Linked DNA regions of Drosophila melanogaster. The protein of the gene in region 1 interacts with the protein of each later gene in a pairwise test. Each region holds a gene or a part of one and is shown in the gene's direction. Other genes may lie near its edges.

Region 1 (3,576 bases):
TCGTGAAAAGCTCCTTGGGACCCGTGGGTCTGGACAAGATGCTGGTGGACGACATCGGCGATGTCACAGTGACCAACGATGGAGCCACCATTCTGCGACTGCTGGAGGTGGAGCACCCGGCAGCCAAGTGAGTTGTTGATGTGGGAAATCTTTCAAAGAAGTACTCATTTCTAAATTTTAAGGGTCCTGGTTGAGCTGGCTCAGCTGCAGGACGAGGAGGTCGGCGATGGCACTACCTCGGTGGTTATCCTGGCCGCTGAGCTGCTGAAAAACGCCGACGAGCTGGTCAAGCAGAAGATTCATCCTACCTCCATAATCTCCGGCTACCGCATTGCCTGCAAGGAGGCCTGCAAGTACATCTCGGAGCATCTGACCGCTCCCGTTGATGAGCTGGGCCGCGATTCCCTGATTAACATTGCCAAGACCTCGATGAGCTCCAAGATCATTGGTGCTGACGCAGAGTTCTTCTCAGCCATGGTTGTGGACGCTGCCCAGTCGGTGAAAATCACAGATCCCCGTGGGCAGGCAGCCTATTCGATTAAAGCCATCAATGTCCTGAAGGCCCATGGCAAGTCTGCCAGGGAATCGGTGCTGATTCCCGGCTATGCCTTGAACTGCACAATTGCCTCCCAGCAGATGCCCAAGAAGATTGTGAACGCCAAGATTGCCTGCCTAGACTTCTCGCTGCAGAAGACCAAGATGAAGATGGGTGTCCAGGTCTTGATCAATGATCCCGACAAGCTGGAGGCTATTCGTGCCCGTGAGCTGGACATTACCAAGGAGCGCATCAACATGATCCTCGGAACCGGTGTCAATGTAGTACTGGTTAGCGGCGGCGTTGATGATTTGTGCATGAAGTACTTCGTTGAGGCTGGAGCCATGGCTGTGCGTCGTGTGAAGAAGAGCGATCTGAAGATCATTGCTAAGGCTACCGGCGCCGCCTTTATTACCTCGCTGACCAACATGGACGGTGAGGAGAGCTTCGATGCCTCAATGGTGGGAGAGGCCGCAGAGGTGGCCCAGGAGCGCATCTGCGATGATGAACTTATCCTCATCAAGGGCACTAAGGCACGGTAAGTGCAGATTATATCATGCAGTAACATAGTTTGCTTTATCGTATCCCTATGCCTTTTTAGTGCTGCCGCATCCATTATCTTGCGTGGTCCCAATGACTTCTACTGTGATGAGATGGAGCGCTCCGTCCACGACGCTCTGTGCGTGGTGAAGCGTGTGCTGGAGAGCAAGAAGGTTGTAGCCGGCGGCGGCTGTGTGGAGGCTGCTTTGTCGATCTACCTGGAGAACTTTGCCACCTCGCTGGCTTCCCGCGAACAGCTGGCCATTGCCGAATTCGCAAAGTCGCTGCTGGTCATTCCCAAGACTCTGTCCGTGAACGCGGCCAAGGATGCCACTGATCTAGTGGCCAAGCTCCGCTCCTACCACAACTCCAGCCAGACGAAGCCCGAGCGTTCGGATCTTAAGTGGACCGGTCTGGATCTGATCGAGGGAGTGGTAAGGGACAACAAGAAGGCTGGAGTTTTGGAGCCCGCCATGTCCAAGATCAAGTCGCTGAAGTTCGCCACGGAGGCCGCCATTACCATTTTGCGTATTGACGACATGATCAAGCTGAATCCGGAGGACAAGAGCGGCAAGAGTTACGCCGATGCATGCGCTGCCGGCGAGCTGGACGGTTAGACATTCTTCACCGCGAGCGAAGCACATTTCTTCTATCTTGTTTAGGCATTTAATTTTAATCAAATCACTCACTTTCAATTGTCGCCCCATTGATTGTAACAACAATTTAATTGTGTTGCCCTTCGCGATCTGTATTAACACCGCACATCCGCAATCCTTTCTCATCCATGCTTCAATGTATAATAAACTGATCTTCAGAATATGCTGAGGCGTAAACTAAATTGGAGGGAAACAGTTTGTTATTTCGGGAGAGCGATCTGGCCAAGAGCAGGCAGAGAGCGATCCGGAGAGTGGGATGTCCTATAAATAGAGCGTGCATCTATTTGGTCTATTAATACAAAAAGAAAACACATCCCAAAAAGCACGGAAAACGCACATTGCTCTACGAATTTTTATCATTTAAAAAGAATTCTTCATAAAATGGCCGATCATAACGAAGATGAAGCTGTTGGCGGTGACCTAAACAACAATATAACAGCAAATGGGCAGGAGGAAGTGCGTCAGCCGGAGCAGCCGCAGAACGAACTGCTGGACATGGTTTTCACGTTGGAAAGCGAAAAACAGGCACTACTAGAGGAGTCTCGCAAACGGATCGGAGCGCTCCGCAAAGACTTTGAGGTTAGTTACTCGTCTCCACGGGCTGCACCCACTTACTGACCCTGATTGCAGGAAGCCAAGGCGGAAAATGAGCGTTTAAAGCGGAGAGTGGTCCAGTTGGAGCAGTCGCTCAAGCAGTCCGTCATGCTGGGCGGCACAGATGCTCCCAAATCACGACAAGAGCAGGAGGAGCTGCTTCTAAAGGCCAAAACCCTGCTGTTCGAGAAGACCAAGGTGAACAAACAGCAGGAGCAGCAGATATCAGTGCTTAGGACACAAGTAGACTCGATTAAGGATGTGCTGCAGGTGACCAAGGACATGTTGCAGCTAAAGACCGCCGAATGTGATCACACGCAGGCTCGTCTGGAGAAGAGCCAGCAGTGGATCAAGGCGGAGCAAGACAAGTGTGTGCTCACGGAGAAGAAACTAGCCATCTCCAAAGGAGTGTATGACAAGCTGCGTTCGGAGTACGACACCCAGTCACAGATATTCAAGGTGCCTTATAACTCGAGTCCAATGATATACTTGATATACTATTACCTTCTTTCCCTACAGGATCTTAAGTCCGCGTACGAGCAGAAGGTCAAGGTTCTCACCAAGGCTTTGGCAGAAGCCAAGAAATAGCTGAACAATTTAATAAACTACGTTAATTAAATGCACACATCTCGTTAATAAGTTTAATAATTTAATGCTTTCCGTGTCTCGTGTCTCTGTCGTTCTCCGTAGTCTAGGAGCTCTGGGTAACCGCCGGCTGCGATTGCTGCTGCGACTGCAATTTCGCTGCAGCAGCCTGCTTCATCTCCAGCACACTCATCACTGAGTTATAGAAGCGCGTCTTTTGCAGGTGGATCTTTTCGATTTTCTCGATCTGCTCCTGCACGTACTCCACGCGTCGCTTGAAGTAGTCTTTGGAGCCTTCCAGATCCTGTTTGAGAAACAGATGGCAATCAATAAATATTCTAGGTTCGATTGGAAATGTAAATCACCTTTTCAATGTAGTAGCCGGTGCCGATGTCTATGACGAACCTGTTGAGATCCTTGACCCGTCCTGGCACATACATACTGCTGGTCAGGGGCACCAGGATCTGACGGTTCTCCCAATTGGGTTGAAAGGTTCCCAGCGCCTCCTTGGATCCGGCGTACTTGGCTTGACAGCCGTGAAGCGTCGACAGCGAGTCCTGTACGTTGGTAATCTCCTAAGGATCACAAAAATGTACCGATTTTAGAAGCATGTGCCAATTGGGGCGCCCCTCCTCCAGAAACCCCCTCCGCGAGCACACTTGACTC
Region 2 (4,713 bases), 3.0 Mb from region 1:
CCCGGGAAAATTGGAAAGACCCCAGCTAACCTAATGACAGACCACCCGAACACCCTTACAAACGATATTACTACAGACTTTTACGACACTTTTCATTAGCAGCCACACTTGCTGTTGTCGCGGGTAGCCGGAAACTTTCTTTTGTATGTTGGAAATGTCTTGGACCTGGTGGCAGTGTCTTATTTTCCACACACCCCTAGTGGGAGTTATTAACCCTTAACCACACGTTACCATTTATAACCCGAACAAAGTGAACCGAGCGCGTTAAGCTGACAATGGCAACAAATTTTTTTCCTTTTGCCGTCTATTGTGCCCGGAAAATCTGGTGGCAGCCACCATTCAATTGTGGTTCTTTTCCTCTTTGTCTGCGGTTTATGGCTTTTAATTCGTTCTGAGCCTCGATTCTTAAGGGTGCCCAAGTGAATTTCGCACTGACATCAACGGATATTGTGTGATAATTGCCACAAGAAAAATATTCGACATTTTTAGAGCGTACATTTCGTTTGCATTTAAATGGGAAAATTAATTAATCATTTCAGATTTGTATTCATTTAAAACACTTCAATTGAGCAATATGAAAATTAACCGATCGAAAATGTATATTTTAAGTATCTTAAGTGGCTGATAAGTGCTGATAGATAGATACATATAAGTACTTTTGAGGTAGGTAGATTGATTACACATTTCTAGATGATAGCCGTATAAAAAAAAGGTATTAGATAGTTGGAGTGGGCAATTCGATTAATTTCTGATAAGACGTAGTTTTCAGCGGGTATATAAACTGATCTTCACTACTGGCCGAGAAAATATTATTAATTGGACAGTAAAATGAAAGCCATCACCGTTTGCCTTTTGGTTCTGGTTTCGGCCACCTGTCTGCTGACCACGCGGGTAAGATTTGCCAATTAAAAAAAAATTAACTTAAATATAATAAATATTTCTTTGTTTCAGGCCAATGCAATAGAATTGCTGGAGAACGAGAACTTCGACTATGATTTCGACTTTGAATCGGAATTGGAGCAGTTGCTGGATGAACTGGACAATGACACTGACTACATGGATGTGGAGGCACAGGGCTTTATTAGAACATGCCTTAAAATCCTTCGCAAGGCATTGAAAACGGTTCGAGGCACCAACTGTATTATCAAGGAGGTGACAAACATCCTTAGTTCATGCACCAGCTATGTGGATGCTATTGATGCCTGTGGCACTGCCATTCCCAAGGATGTGGCCAAGATTGTGGACTCCGTTAAGGAGATTATCAAAATCTGCGACGATATTTTGCATCTGCATTCGAAACTTTGTGCCACGGATAAGTCCGTGGGCTCGTCCATCAAAAACTCGGCCAAATGCTTCTGGAAATTGTTCAAGGCATCCATGAGGCTGACCCGAAAGATCAATAAAACCCTAAAACTGATTGCCAAATTGCCAGCCGATACCAGTTCCTGCTTCGTAAATGCCACCAATAAAGTTACAGCGTCCTTTAACTCTTTTCTGCCCAACATTGATGTCTGCATCGAGTCTATGTAAATATATTATTATTAAAAAATAAAAAACTCTTAAGCTTACAGCAGATTAGATTTCAATTCTCGAGCCTTTGTTCCCAACAACCTATGAACAATAATATAGTGATTTGATTGAAAATAAATTTTGTTTCATTATGATAAGATAACTTCAATTTCCAACTATGAGCCGAACTGAAGCGATTCGATTAAGATTCGTTAATAAATACAATCGGTATCTAGAGAGGGTTCTTGAACAGCTTTATACTGATATGGAAAATTAATTGTAATTAATTATAAATTGCAATTAAAGGGATTTAACTTACGTCTCTGAATTTATAATAATTTAGCATTTTTTAGCATTTAGCAAAAACAGATGTTAAGGTAACACTGAAAGAGCACTGTCAGAGTTGAAAATGTTCGTCATAAATTTAGAAATTATTTAGTTCGATTCGGGCACGACAGCACGAAACATGTCCCAGATAAACAATATATTCATTAAGCTGCGAGCTCGTCTGCGGGAGCGTGATATCAAGTTGTGGGAGGAGCCGTACTACTTCGAGGAGGTGGGCAGCATCGAGTCGGAGATGGACCGCCTGGCCAGGGACATCAGTGGCGAACTGGGCATCAGTGTGTCGGACTGCAGAATTGCCTTGGGCGAATTGCAAGATGGTGCCTTGCGGAAGCTGGCGGCTCGCCGAGAGTTCAATGACACCGGATTGGCCACGTTCAATGTGCGGTGTGTGGACAGCAAGGGTGGCACCGTGCAAATGCTGGAGATCAAGTGTTCGCTGGGTGGACTGGGCTCGGATCTGCAAGCTGAGGTGGCCAAGAAGTTGGATATCGTTGATTCCAGTCATGTGAAATGCATCTCCGGAGGACGCATCATCAATGGGCAGAAGACACTGGCCTCGCAGGGGCTCAAAACCAATCAGCACCTCATGGTGGTTGTGGGTGGAACTAATGAAGGTCAGGAGTTGCACGAACGTATCCAAAGGATTCGTGCGGACTTGGAGTTAGTTGCGGATGCAGATCGCTTTATGGAAATGGAGGATCAGGATGGACGTCCAATTTTCTTGCCACGCGAGGAAAATCGATCCCTATTGATGGCCATGAGCATGTACGAAGTGGCCAGAGTTGCCATGCATAAGGAGAACTTCGATGAGGCTCTACTCATCCTACTCGAGGCCGATGAACTCTTCTCCCAATGTGACTCAAAGCTCCTGGAAGGAGTGGATAACTATGCCTTAATCAATCTAGATATTGTTTGGTGCTATCTGCGCCTGAAGAACATCACCCAACTGCCAGATGCACAGCGACGTTTGGATATTTGCGAGAGGGGCTTTGTCAAGAGCTATGGCGAGCAGTTCATTCGATTGTTCTCGATTAAGGGTCCAAGTAGCCCGGAAAGAGCTTTGATCATGAGACTGCACCTGCTCCAAGGTGTGCTCCTCTTTCACCAAAATCGCCGGGATGAGGCCTACGAAAAACTGGAGGTGGCGACAAAGGACTTGTATGAGGTCAAGATGAATGACACTGAGCTAAGCACTCTCGTTGAAATGGGCTATGAGGAATCGGATGCCAGGTTGGCCTTGAGATCCTGTGCGGGCCAAGTGGATAGGGCCATTCAATATATCCAGGAACGCAGCGAGAGAATCAGTGAGGAGCGAAAGAACTCGGCTGCCGAGAGGCAAGTCAACCAAGAGATGATTTTCGCCGGTCAAGGAGGAGAATGGGTCAATCCACGCAGCATTATTAGGCTCATGGAAATGGGCTACGAAAGGCGTTTGGTTGTGGAGGCTCTGAAGAGGACCAAAAATAATCTCGATCGCAGTTTGGATCTACTGCAGCGTCATTCAGATGAACTTAGGGCCAATCTGCCGCCCATTCCTCCTGTCGATGAATCGTTACTTACTACTCTACAGCACCTTGGATTTTCGGAGATTTCCGCTCGAGATGCTTTGGAAACTACGGGCAACAGTTTCCATAAATCTCTGAAATTTCTATTGAAAAGTTTCCCCAACGAATCGGAATTACTTCATGTTATTGAAACCATGACAAAAGTTTTGGAGGTTCAAGAACCTACGAGCTCAACTAATGCGACTGCAAATAGCACCACCCCACTCGTAAACTTATCCAACAGCAAGGTGAACTTGCTCCAGACTGTCCTTAGCGAGGCCAAGTCGGAGATTGAGTCTTACAATGCCTTCAAGAGATTCAACGAGAACCTCGCCGAGAACAACAACCACTACTTAAACTTGCCCTTGGATCAGGAGGAGCAAATTCTGATCGAGTATAAACGTTTGCTCGAGGGCTAATAAGAAAAAAATAAGATTTTTTTTAAATATTTGTAAATCAAAAAACAGGCAATAAATAAGTACGTACAAATATTTATTGTTGCTTTGTTATATTTTTAACATCTTTTCTCACCATGTTACCATTTCATTTCACAGCCATTCCACTATAGTCTGAATGGTACCTTTTTGTGGCCAAAATTAATAACATAACAGCTAGTCAATTAAATAAAAAAAAAATAAAAAAAATCCAGCTTATAGTGCGTCCCTTCAAAAACTCAAATACTTATTGCCCAGCAAAGTATGCTATGCATTTTGGTTGCTGATGTGGCTGCTGCTATTTGCTCACTCATGTGCATAACGTCACAGTTTTTCACAATTTTGTGTATGTGTGTGTGTGCGCGTGCTCTTTGCGTGTGGCTGACTTTGTGAAAATTAATAAGTTTTCAGACCCTCTCGCCAATCTGCCAATGCCATGCGAAAGTTCTGCAGATGATGGCCAAATAATTTGTCGTCCTGTTTTGTGGCGTTATTTCCAAATCGTTAAACCTAAAATAAACTCCGCTCAGCTTATTTCACTCTTCCATTTCTTTCTTCATTTCGTGTTTTTTTTTTTTCGGTTTACGTTGATTTATTATATATGCGAAATGGCGCACACATTTTGAGTGGCTGACATTTTCACTTGACTGCGATTTCCTTCGCTTCTTCACGGCTAAATCGAGCATTTCACAAAAAATACAACCACACCGAAAAGCCATTTTGCAGATTGTTTTCTACTTTTATAGGTGAGCAGCTGTCTGGAAGGATTAATCTTTCGAACGAACTTTTTATATTATTTATTTAATTTATGTAATGAATTTTTTTAATAATACAGAATGATATTTATGTAGGAGGGCAAGTACTTGGGTGGACTCTCT
Region 3 (8,019 bases), on another chromosome or scaffold:
TTGATCTGCACAATCTCGTCGCCATCTTCGATTTTTCCGGAATTGTGAGCTGGCGAGTTGTACTTGATATCCGTGACACGGTGAATGCCATTATAACTGGACTCTATGTTGAAACCCAACTCGGATTCGCGTTTTTTAAGGGTGACAAGGTTCAGAGAGGCTGGCTGCAGTACCATGGGATCAGATATGTCCTGGATTACAAAGTTGGCAAGATTCTCGAGCCGTTCCGCTGACTGTCGAATCGCTGGCACCGGCTGCAGGGCAAAACGATCACGGTGGGCAATTGTGGCCAGCTCCAGGCCGCATTTGAGCACATTGCCACAATACTCGCGGTACATCTCCTGCTTACGGAACGGTGTTCGCTCCAGGCTGCCCACCAATGGCTTTAGAGTAGCTATCGTCCTGGTAATATCGTGCAGTATCCGGGTATCGATCTTAGTGCTCTCCGCATGATTCCTGGCCAGTTCGCGATGCAGATTCTTAGCTGCCGTGGCCACATGCAAGGCCATGAACTGCAGATTGTCGTTTTTCAGGTGATAATGCTGGAATATCAAGCTCAATTAACGGGTTTGTATGTCACAATATTTGTTTGGGGTCTCACGAAGTTTCTTAAGTTCTCCACCGCCTCCAGCACGATCTCCTGATGGCCAATGCGCAGCATGCCCAGATTCTCCAGCTCGTATGGCCGTATGTTGAGCAACGCCCGTCCGCCGATCTCCTGCTTGGAGAACTCGTACAAATACCCCTTCATAGACTCATCCAGACCTGCGAGAATCAGGAAAACATAATTATTATGATGTGCCTGTTGAAACCTTGAACAAAGCGGAAATTCTTGTTGCACTTGTTGTTGCTGCTGCTTTTTGGGGCAGTGGCTGCGAGATGCAGTTTTTTTTTTCTCAGCTGCGCTTTCCTTGACCTCGAGCATTACCTTTTATCCAGTCGGTGACCTGGTCGGGCGTCCACTCGGCGATGTTGATGTAGGCCATCGCTGCTGCTGCTGATGATCCGCGCTGGGCCGCACCTACGGCATATTATCAATTCGTGCTGCAAAAACACTCGAACCAAGTTCAGAATTGCTATATTGTTGCGTCTCTCTGGTCCGGAGTGACCATCTTTTAGAGCTCGAACAATACTCGGTGCTCGTTAAATACTATCGAACTAGCGTGGCAATCGATTATTTAATGCATTTTAAAACTGAACAAAATGCAATTTATTCAAAGTTTCTTTAAGGGACAGAACAAGAGGAAAGAAAACTATAAATTATGATACTACTACATACTACTTTCTCCATCCAAGATAGCCAGGAAACAGCCACATGTTTCTGTATGTGTTTATTTTTATAGTCTTAATTAATATGAATTTGGCTTGCAGTGCAAGAGAGTAAGAGTAACAGTTATCGATAGAGGACCAACAAAAAATAATCGAATTGGTAATTGTCTCATGTTGATATATTTTCCGAGCACTACCGCTATTTACAACCTTTTATTTGTTAGTACCTAAAGATCATGTTGTAAGCTAATCTTTTAGAAACCACAAAGTTTTATGTAAAATATTCACTTATATTGACACAAGCTCGAAGTAATAATTATCAAACATTTAAAAACCCCGCTTCGGATTTAGCCATTCACATTCGAATTTACTGCAACCCAACAGCCAACAGCGCTTCGCAACACTGTCGCCGCCCCAATCAAACAGCTGAGCGCCTTGCGAATGGAATTGAATTGCCCCAAAACATATAAATAAATGCCTCAATGACAGCATCAAATGGAGATAAACAAGGCAATGAGCGTCCCTCCGCTCCAGTGCCTTTCCCCAGCTGACAATTAGCACTTTACTTGACCATTCAAGCTCGGGTAGATGTATACATATGTATGTATACGAAGGCGGCGCACGTTTTTCCAACGCAATGCCTTCAGAAACGAATCAGTCACTTGCTCGGAGAGGGAGAGGCACGACGAAGTAAATCACCGCGTGTTTTTTTCTAATCGCTGCAACTGGCTGCTGCAATCACTATTCTCTTGTCGAAATGTCTGTGACCCAGACGAAACAAATCAAGTTCTACAACCCATCGAGTTCCGCTAGCTCCGACAGGTAACGAACGACTTTTTAATGCCGCATTAATTCACGCACGGCCAAAAGTAAAGTGTGAAAATCCAACAGAAGTCATTAGAATGTGATACACACTCACACACACACCCGCGCACAAACATATCTAAAGAGCATGTGCTCCAAGTCATTCATCGTATGTACGTACGTACCTACTTACATGTGTGCGTCGTGGGGCCTCTAATCACGCAATATAAATAAATGCTGGGAAAATGGCATAGGGCCTGCGTTCGCAAACACCACTACATGTGCAAACGCATAACATGTGATAAATTCAATTTCGATATAGTCGCCGGTTGCATCGGATCGGAAGAGAGTGTGAGAGAGAAGGCAAAGCGAACACCCTGCGAGAACAGTTACAAGCTAGGGATGGGCGCGTCAGCGAGTAACTTGTAATGTTGCAGTTTGAAAAAATAATATTCATACCACAGAAACATTATTAAAATAACTTTGGTGCGATCCGTGGAATGCTATAAAAAATTACTTGTGTATAAGTATATGTAGCGTGAAATATTTTATGATTTTATGCGCCTAAAAATTAGAATATTTTTTTCTCTAACAAATTAAATATCCTTCACTTAACAAAAGTAAAAGAGACATTTGTTATGCAAATTTGGCTAAAATGTAGAGCACATCTTCGACTGAGTCGTGTCACGCCAAACCTCATGTACCACATGCCCACCTCTATGAAGGCTTGCGACAACAACAATGCAGAGACGACGCCGGCAGAGGAAACCGCAGCGCAGCGCAGCTTTTTAACCTTAGCTGCCTTAACACTTTTTCTTGTCATTCAATCCCCAAACGCCGCTCACCTCGCACTTCTCGCTACACCTTTGGCTTAATTTTTTGTTTTCATTAGTTATCGAATAAATATTGGCCGCAACGCAAAAGGTGAATCGCTGCGTACGAAATAAAAACTCTAAATCACATGTGATCCACGCCGGCGGCGATTCGCGTGAGCGTTGTGTGAGTGAGTGACCCATTTTGGCTTGGCATCGCCGGTTGCTGTGTTCTTGCTGCCTCCACATCCAAGTTCTCACGCCCACGCCGACGGACTGAGTGATTCAAAATCGCTGGCAGATCGGGATCGGGCTAAAAATGAGCAGCATCACGTTTTTGTGCAGCAAGTCGGGCCACAACACCAACAACAACAGCATTAATAGTAGCAATAACGATGTTCCAAAAGGGGCAAAAGCGAACTCAGCATTTGCAGCCGCATCCGCCGGTTTACTAACCATCGCAAACCACCAGCAGCAACAGCTACTTCAGCAACCACATCAACAGCAGCAGCAACAACAACAACAGCATCATCAGCAGTCAAAGGTTAAGGCTATAGCAGCCAAAACCAATGGTCACATGTAATTCATTGCATTTTCCCCATTTCTTAACGTAAAAACCAATCGAAGTCCCATTTTACATACCAGACGTTCATATATGTATGTTTGTACATTCATTTGTAGAGAGGCATATTTGTGTGTGTGTGTTTGTATTTGAGTGCTTTTTGTTGTTTCTGTTGTGTGTGTTATTTACCGCCATTCTAATTGTTTTGGTGCTGCGCTTGTTTGTCCAGTCTCCCGTTTCGCGACGTCTCTTTCTATTCTCAGTGTTTAATTAACGCTTGCTGTGTTTAACATTGTTTATTGAGTCTGCCGCGCGGCAAGTAACAACAAATGGTGAAACGATGATAGCGTCAGCAAGTGCTCTCTCGATTCTTCAACATGGCAGCGATCACAACAACACACATGAGCCACGTTTGCCATTTCCAGTTCCCTTAGCCTCCCTTTGGCTCCCAATGTCCTGCATCTCCCTCGCCAGGAAACTCCCGCTTGCCGTCCTTGTCCCACCCGCCTGGAAGGCCATAACCTGTTGGTTCCTTTTTTGGGAAGAGCACGGCACACGTGGCAAGCGCTCATCTCTCGCTTCTTTTGTTGGTGTGCAAAAACTAAAAATATGCGGAGGAATCTCGTCTGTGGCGTCACCAGATTGTTGGCCCCACACTGAGAGAAAAATGAAACATTTTTGATTCTTCTAAATTTACATTTTATCACAAGTACCCCAAACTTATTTTAATATTTATCGTTTTTATGTTATGATAAATATTGTTCTAAAATTTTGACAACATTTTTTGACCTTCTGCAGAATTCTAAAAAAATATATCCTCAGTTTTTTCTTTCCGTGTGGTGAATTTCATTTTGGTACGCAAATGAAGAGCAGAAGATACAGAGAAAGGCGGAAAGAATGAGTGCAACGAACGCGCCTACGCAGCATTCGATAAATGGATACGTCTAGCGTTGCTTTGTCTGCCGGCCCCTGTTTTCTTATTTTTGAAATCTTCCCAGAATTGTATGATGAGTGTTTTTGCATGTACTTGGCCCTAGTTATTGTCTATTATTATTGTTTTAACGGCCAACTTCTTTCTAGATATTACTTACTAGTATTAGATATCAACCCATCATGATCATATCGTATTTCATGCCAAATCACAAATATTCCCATATCATATTACTGCATATTCCTGCAATACTTTTGCTATACCAACGTGATTTATAAAGGGAGCTGTAAATGTAACGTATTAGCTGTTCTCATTGAAAGCCATATAAGAATTAACCTGATAATACGTAACGATGTTATCTTCTATCACATTCAATTAAGGCCTCAAGTAACTTGTCTATTTATAGAACATATTGAGCAGTAGATTAATTTTACGTCGACGATATGCCTGGTTTCTCGCGTTTGTGTGGGTGTCAATACGTGTGCAGATGGGGGCTGTTAAAGTAGAGTAGGTCAGTGAGTATACTGCATCCTTGAACTTATAGCTTTAAGCTTGCATTGCAATAGCTGGTACGGCATGGTAGAAATTTCACTAACACGTTCTGTAATCTACTCTTTCGTACATATCAAAATATTTAAAATTATTATGAAATTAATCAGTGCTAGGTGATAAAAATGTTATCTCATGGCTAATCACTGAATTCCAATTATTTTACTTGTGGCTAACGTCATCGTTAAATGGTGGGAGTGTAGAACTTGATAATCGCCAACTAATCTATATACGTACTATTTGCAGCGATGACCGTTCACTCTCGGATGTCACAGAGCAACTCTATGTGGATCCGTATGCCGACCTAAGCAATGGCTTGCCCGGGGATCTCAACTGCTGTCCGGCCTCGCCCACCACAGTGCCTGCTAAAGCATCGTTGGATTCGCCTCTTAAACGTTCCGGTAGGAGACAGCGAACCACATCCATTGGCAACCAGACCACCACAGCGAATCCGTCCGAATGCATCATACGCGCAAATAACCGCACGATCTACACGGCCGGACGACCGCCGTGGTACAATTGTGCTGGGCAACAGGTGGAGCCCTTCGTCATAGGTAAACACATCACTCCCAAAAAACAAATCTTTCTAGTCTCTCTAATGTGCTTAATTTCCTTCAGGAATCTGCGGCGGTAGTGCCTCTGGCAAGACCACAGTGGCTGAGAAAATCATCGAAAGCCTAGACGTTCCATGGGTAACACTGTTGTCCATGGACTGTTTCTACAAGGTTGGAGAATTATAATTTAGTTGACGAAATACATTGACTGAATTCATTATGTTAATCCTGTAGATCCTTAATGAGAAACAGCATGAGCAGGCCCTGATCAACGAATATAACTTCGATCACCCGGATGCCTTCGACATCGAGCTGCTGCTGGACGTGCTCACCAAGCTGAAGGAGGGCCGAAAGGTGGAAGTTCCTGTCTATAATTTTGTGACACATGGTCGTGAGAGCCAAACGAAAACCATGTACGGGGCCAATGTGATCATCTTCGAGGGTATTCTTACCTTTCATAGTCCTGAAGTACTTAAATTGCTAGACATGAAGATATTTGTGGACACAGATCCCGATATTCGTCTGGCCAGGCGGTTAAGAAGGTATGTGATGGTTCTCGGCTCTGCCTACCTTGATTATCATATTTTGTTATCAATTGTTCAATTTTAGGGACATCTCTCAGCGCGGACGAGACCTCAAGGGCGTGCTGAAGCAATACCTTAATATGGTTAAGCCCTCCTATTGCAATTACATAGCTCCAACAATGGCCCATGCAGATATCATTGTTCCTCGTGGAGGCGACAACAAGGTGGCCATCCATCTCATTGTTCAGCACGTGCACACACAGCTGCAACTGGTATGAATTGCCTGCTTGCGGTGCTGTTCACCTTGTTAATTTGTCTGTCTGTCTTCCAGCGCGGATTTAAGCTGCGCGAAACTCTGGCCAACTCCTACAAGGACCAGCCAATGCCACATTCTCTGCACTTGCTGCATCCCACGCCCCAAATAAAGGGCCTGCACACGTTCATCCGTTGCCGAAATACGTCCCGCGATGAGTTTATTTTTTACTCAAAGCGCCTGATACGGCTAGTCATTGAATATGCGCTAAGCTTATTTCCCTTTAAGAAAACAACAGTGGAGACTCCACAAGGTGTCCTTTACGAGGGCAAGCGTATGGAATCGCGAAAAATATGCGGCGTCTCAATTCTCCGAGCTGGTGAAACAATGGAACAAGCCGTTTGTGATGTGTGCAAGGACATTCGCATCGGAAAGATCCTCATCCAGACCAATCTTAAGACCGGCGAGCCGGAGCTTTACTACCTGAGGCTGCCTAAAGACATAAAAGACTACAAGGTGATACTAATGGATGCCACCGTGGCCACAGGAGCAGCGGCCATGATGGCCATTCGGGTGCTGCTGGATCACGATGTACCCGAGGACAACATTATCTTGGCCTCGCTTTTGATGGCTGAGATCGGTGTGCACTCCATTGCCTATGCCTTCCCAAAGGTGAGATTGACACTAAATTCCAAAAGCCGGCATTTATTTATGTTCTTCTTTATGTAGGTGAAAATTGTTACTTCCGCTCTGGATCCGGAGATTAATAGTAAGTTTTATGTTATACCCGGCATTGGTAACTTTGGCGATCGCTACTTTGGCACGGAACCCTCTGATGAGTACTAAGGAGATCTGGGCCAATCCATACCTATATGGAACCATCAAGTTTCTAATGTATCTTAGGTTAAGTTCAAAACGTTACTTAAATTATGAATTTGGAACGAGATGTTTTATTGATGTGGCTATAAGAGTCGAACTACAAGCTGTATGAGGAAAGCAAGACTTCCCAACACCAAAGCGATGCCAAAATAGCGTTGGATTAGTCTTTCCCGACTCCTGGTTTGCACTTGAACGTTTGGTAACTCCTGATTTTTTGCACACCTCGTCCAATCGCGTTCGTCGTCTAAAATTTCTCCCACCATGCTAAACTTGCTCGCACTGGTAATTCGCACATGGACACGAGTACCAAGAAGGTTATCCCGCATGGGCAGCAGTACTTGCTCGTAGCTCTTGTTGTGGCCCACGTAATGGAGCTTGTCGTGTGAAACTTCTGTGACCAAGACGGTGTATATTTCACCCACTCTGTCCGCATAGGGTTCATAGCTGTAGAAGAGATCCGTGAGACGTTTAGTTCGTTTCTTCACCAGGTTTGCGGGGATGCGATCCATCTTAGCAGCTGGTGTGCCCGGACGAGGGAAGAACTGATTGATGAACAGACTGGGAAAGCGATATTTGGCGCAAAGGGTCATCGTCTCCTCGAAATCGTCTTCTGTCTCTGTTGGGAAACCACAAATTATATCCGTGGCAATCGTGACACCGGGAACTCGTTCCCTTAAGAAATCCACAACGTGCTCAAAGTCCTGCCGACAGTACTCTCGTTTCATCTCGCCCAGCACAGAGTCACTACCACTCTATAAAAAGAAATAATTGACTATCGAAAAATATTTATATATATTACACTCGATCCTTACCTGTACAGGAACATGTAAAAAGGAGTAGACTCTCGGGTGCTGCAAGACGTTGGCCACTTCCTCGAGATGC

The links.
Region 2: the proteins of CG5376 (region 1) and CG5111 interact in a two-hybrid assay, tested with the Drosophila melanogaster proteins (one large-scale study listed by BioGRID).
Region 3: the proteins of CG5376 (region 1) and l(2)k01209 interact in a two-hybrid assay, tested with the Drosophila melanogaster proteins (one large-scale study listed by BioGRID).

Annotation. Positions count from the first base shown.
Region 1 is NT_033777.3:22,487,419-22,490,994, reverse strand, and holds CG5376 (uncharacterized protein), read left to right. Parts: upstream 1-2,039; 5' UTR 2,040-2,112; coding exon 2,113-2,310; intron 2,311-2,361; coding exon 2,362-2,784; intron 2,785-2,844; coding exon 2,845-2,913; 3' UTR 2,914-2,962; downstream 2,963-3,576. Other genes in the region: CCT1 (chaperonin containing TCP1 subunit 1), read left to right, coding at 1-127, 183-1,073, 1,137-1,692; Pfdn5 (prefoldin 5), read right to left, coding at 3,017-3,214, 3,276-3,485.
Region 2 is NT_033777.3:25,504,389-25,509,101, forward strand, and holds CG5111 (uncharacterized protein), read left to right. Parts: upstream 1-1,886; 5' UTR 1,887-1,975; coding exon 1,976-3,820; 3' UTR 3,821-3,891; downstream 3,892-4,713. Other genes in the region: CG5107 (uncharacterized protein), read left to right, coding at 829-891, 952-1,530.
Region 3 is NT_033778.4:17,418,483-17,426,501, forward strand, and holds l(2)k01209 (lethal (2) k01209), read left to right. Parts: upstream 1-1,924; 5' UTR 1,925-2,026; coding exon of another isoform or gene 2,027-2,091; exon of another isoform or gene 2,092-2,965; 5' UTR 2,966-3,204; coding exon 3,205-3,464; intron 3,465-5,173; coding exon 5,174-5,481; intron 5,482-5,545; coding exon 5,546-5,652; intron 5,653-5,715; coding exon 5,716-6,023; intron 6,024-6,090; coding exon 6,091-6,277; intron 6,278-6,336; coding exon 6,337-6,930; intron 6,931-6,987; coding exon 6,988-7,104; 3' UTR 7,105-7,197; downstream 7,198-8,019. Other genes in the region: cnk (connector enhancer of ksr), read right to left, coding at 1-542, 602-765, 929-986; CG6550 (uncharacterized protein), read right to left, coding at 7,221-7,889, 7,950-8,019.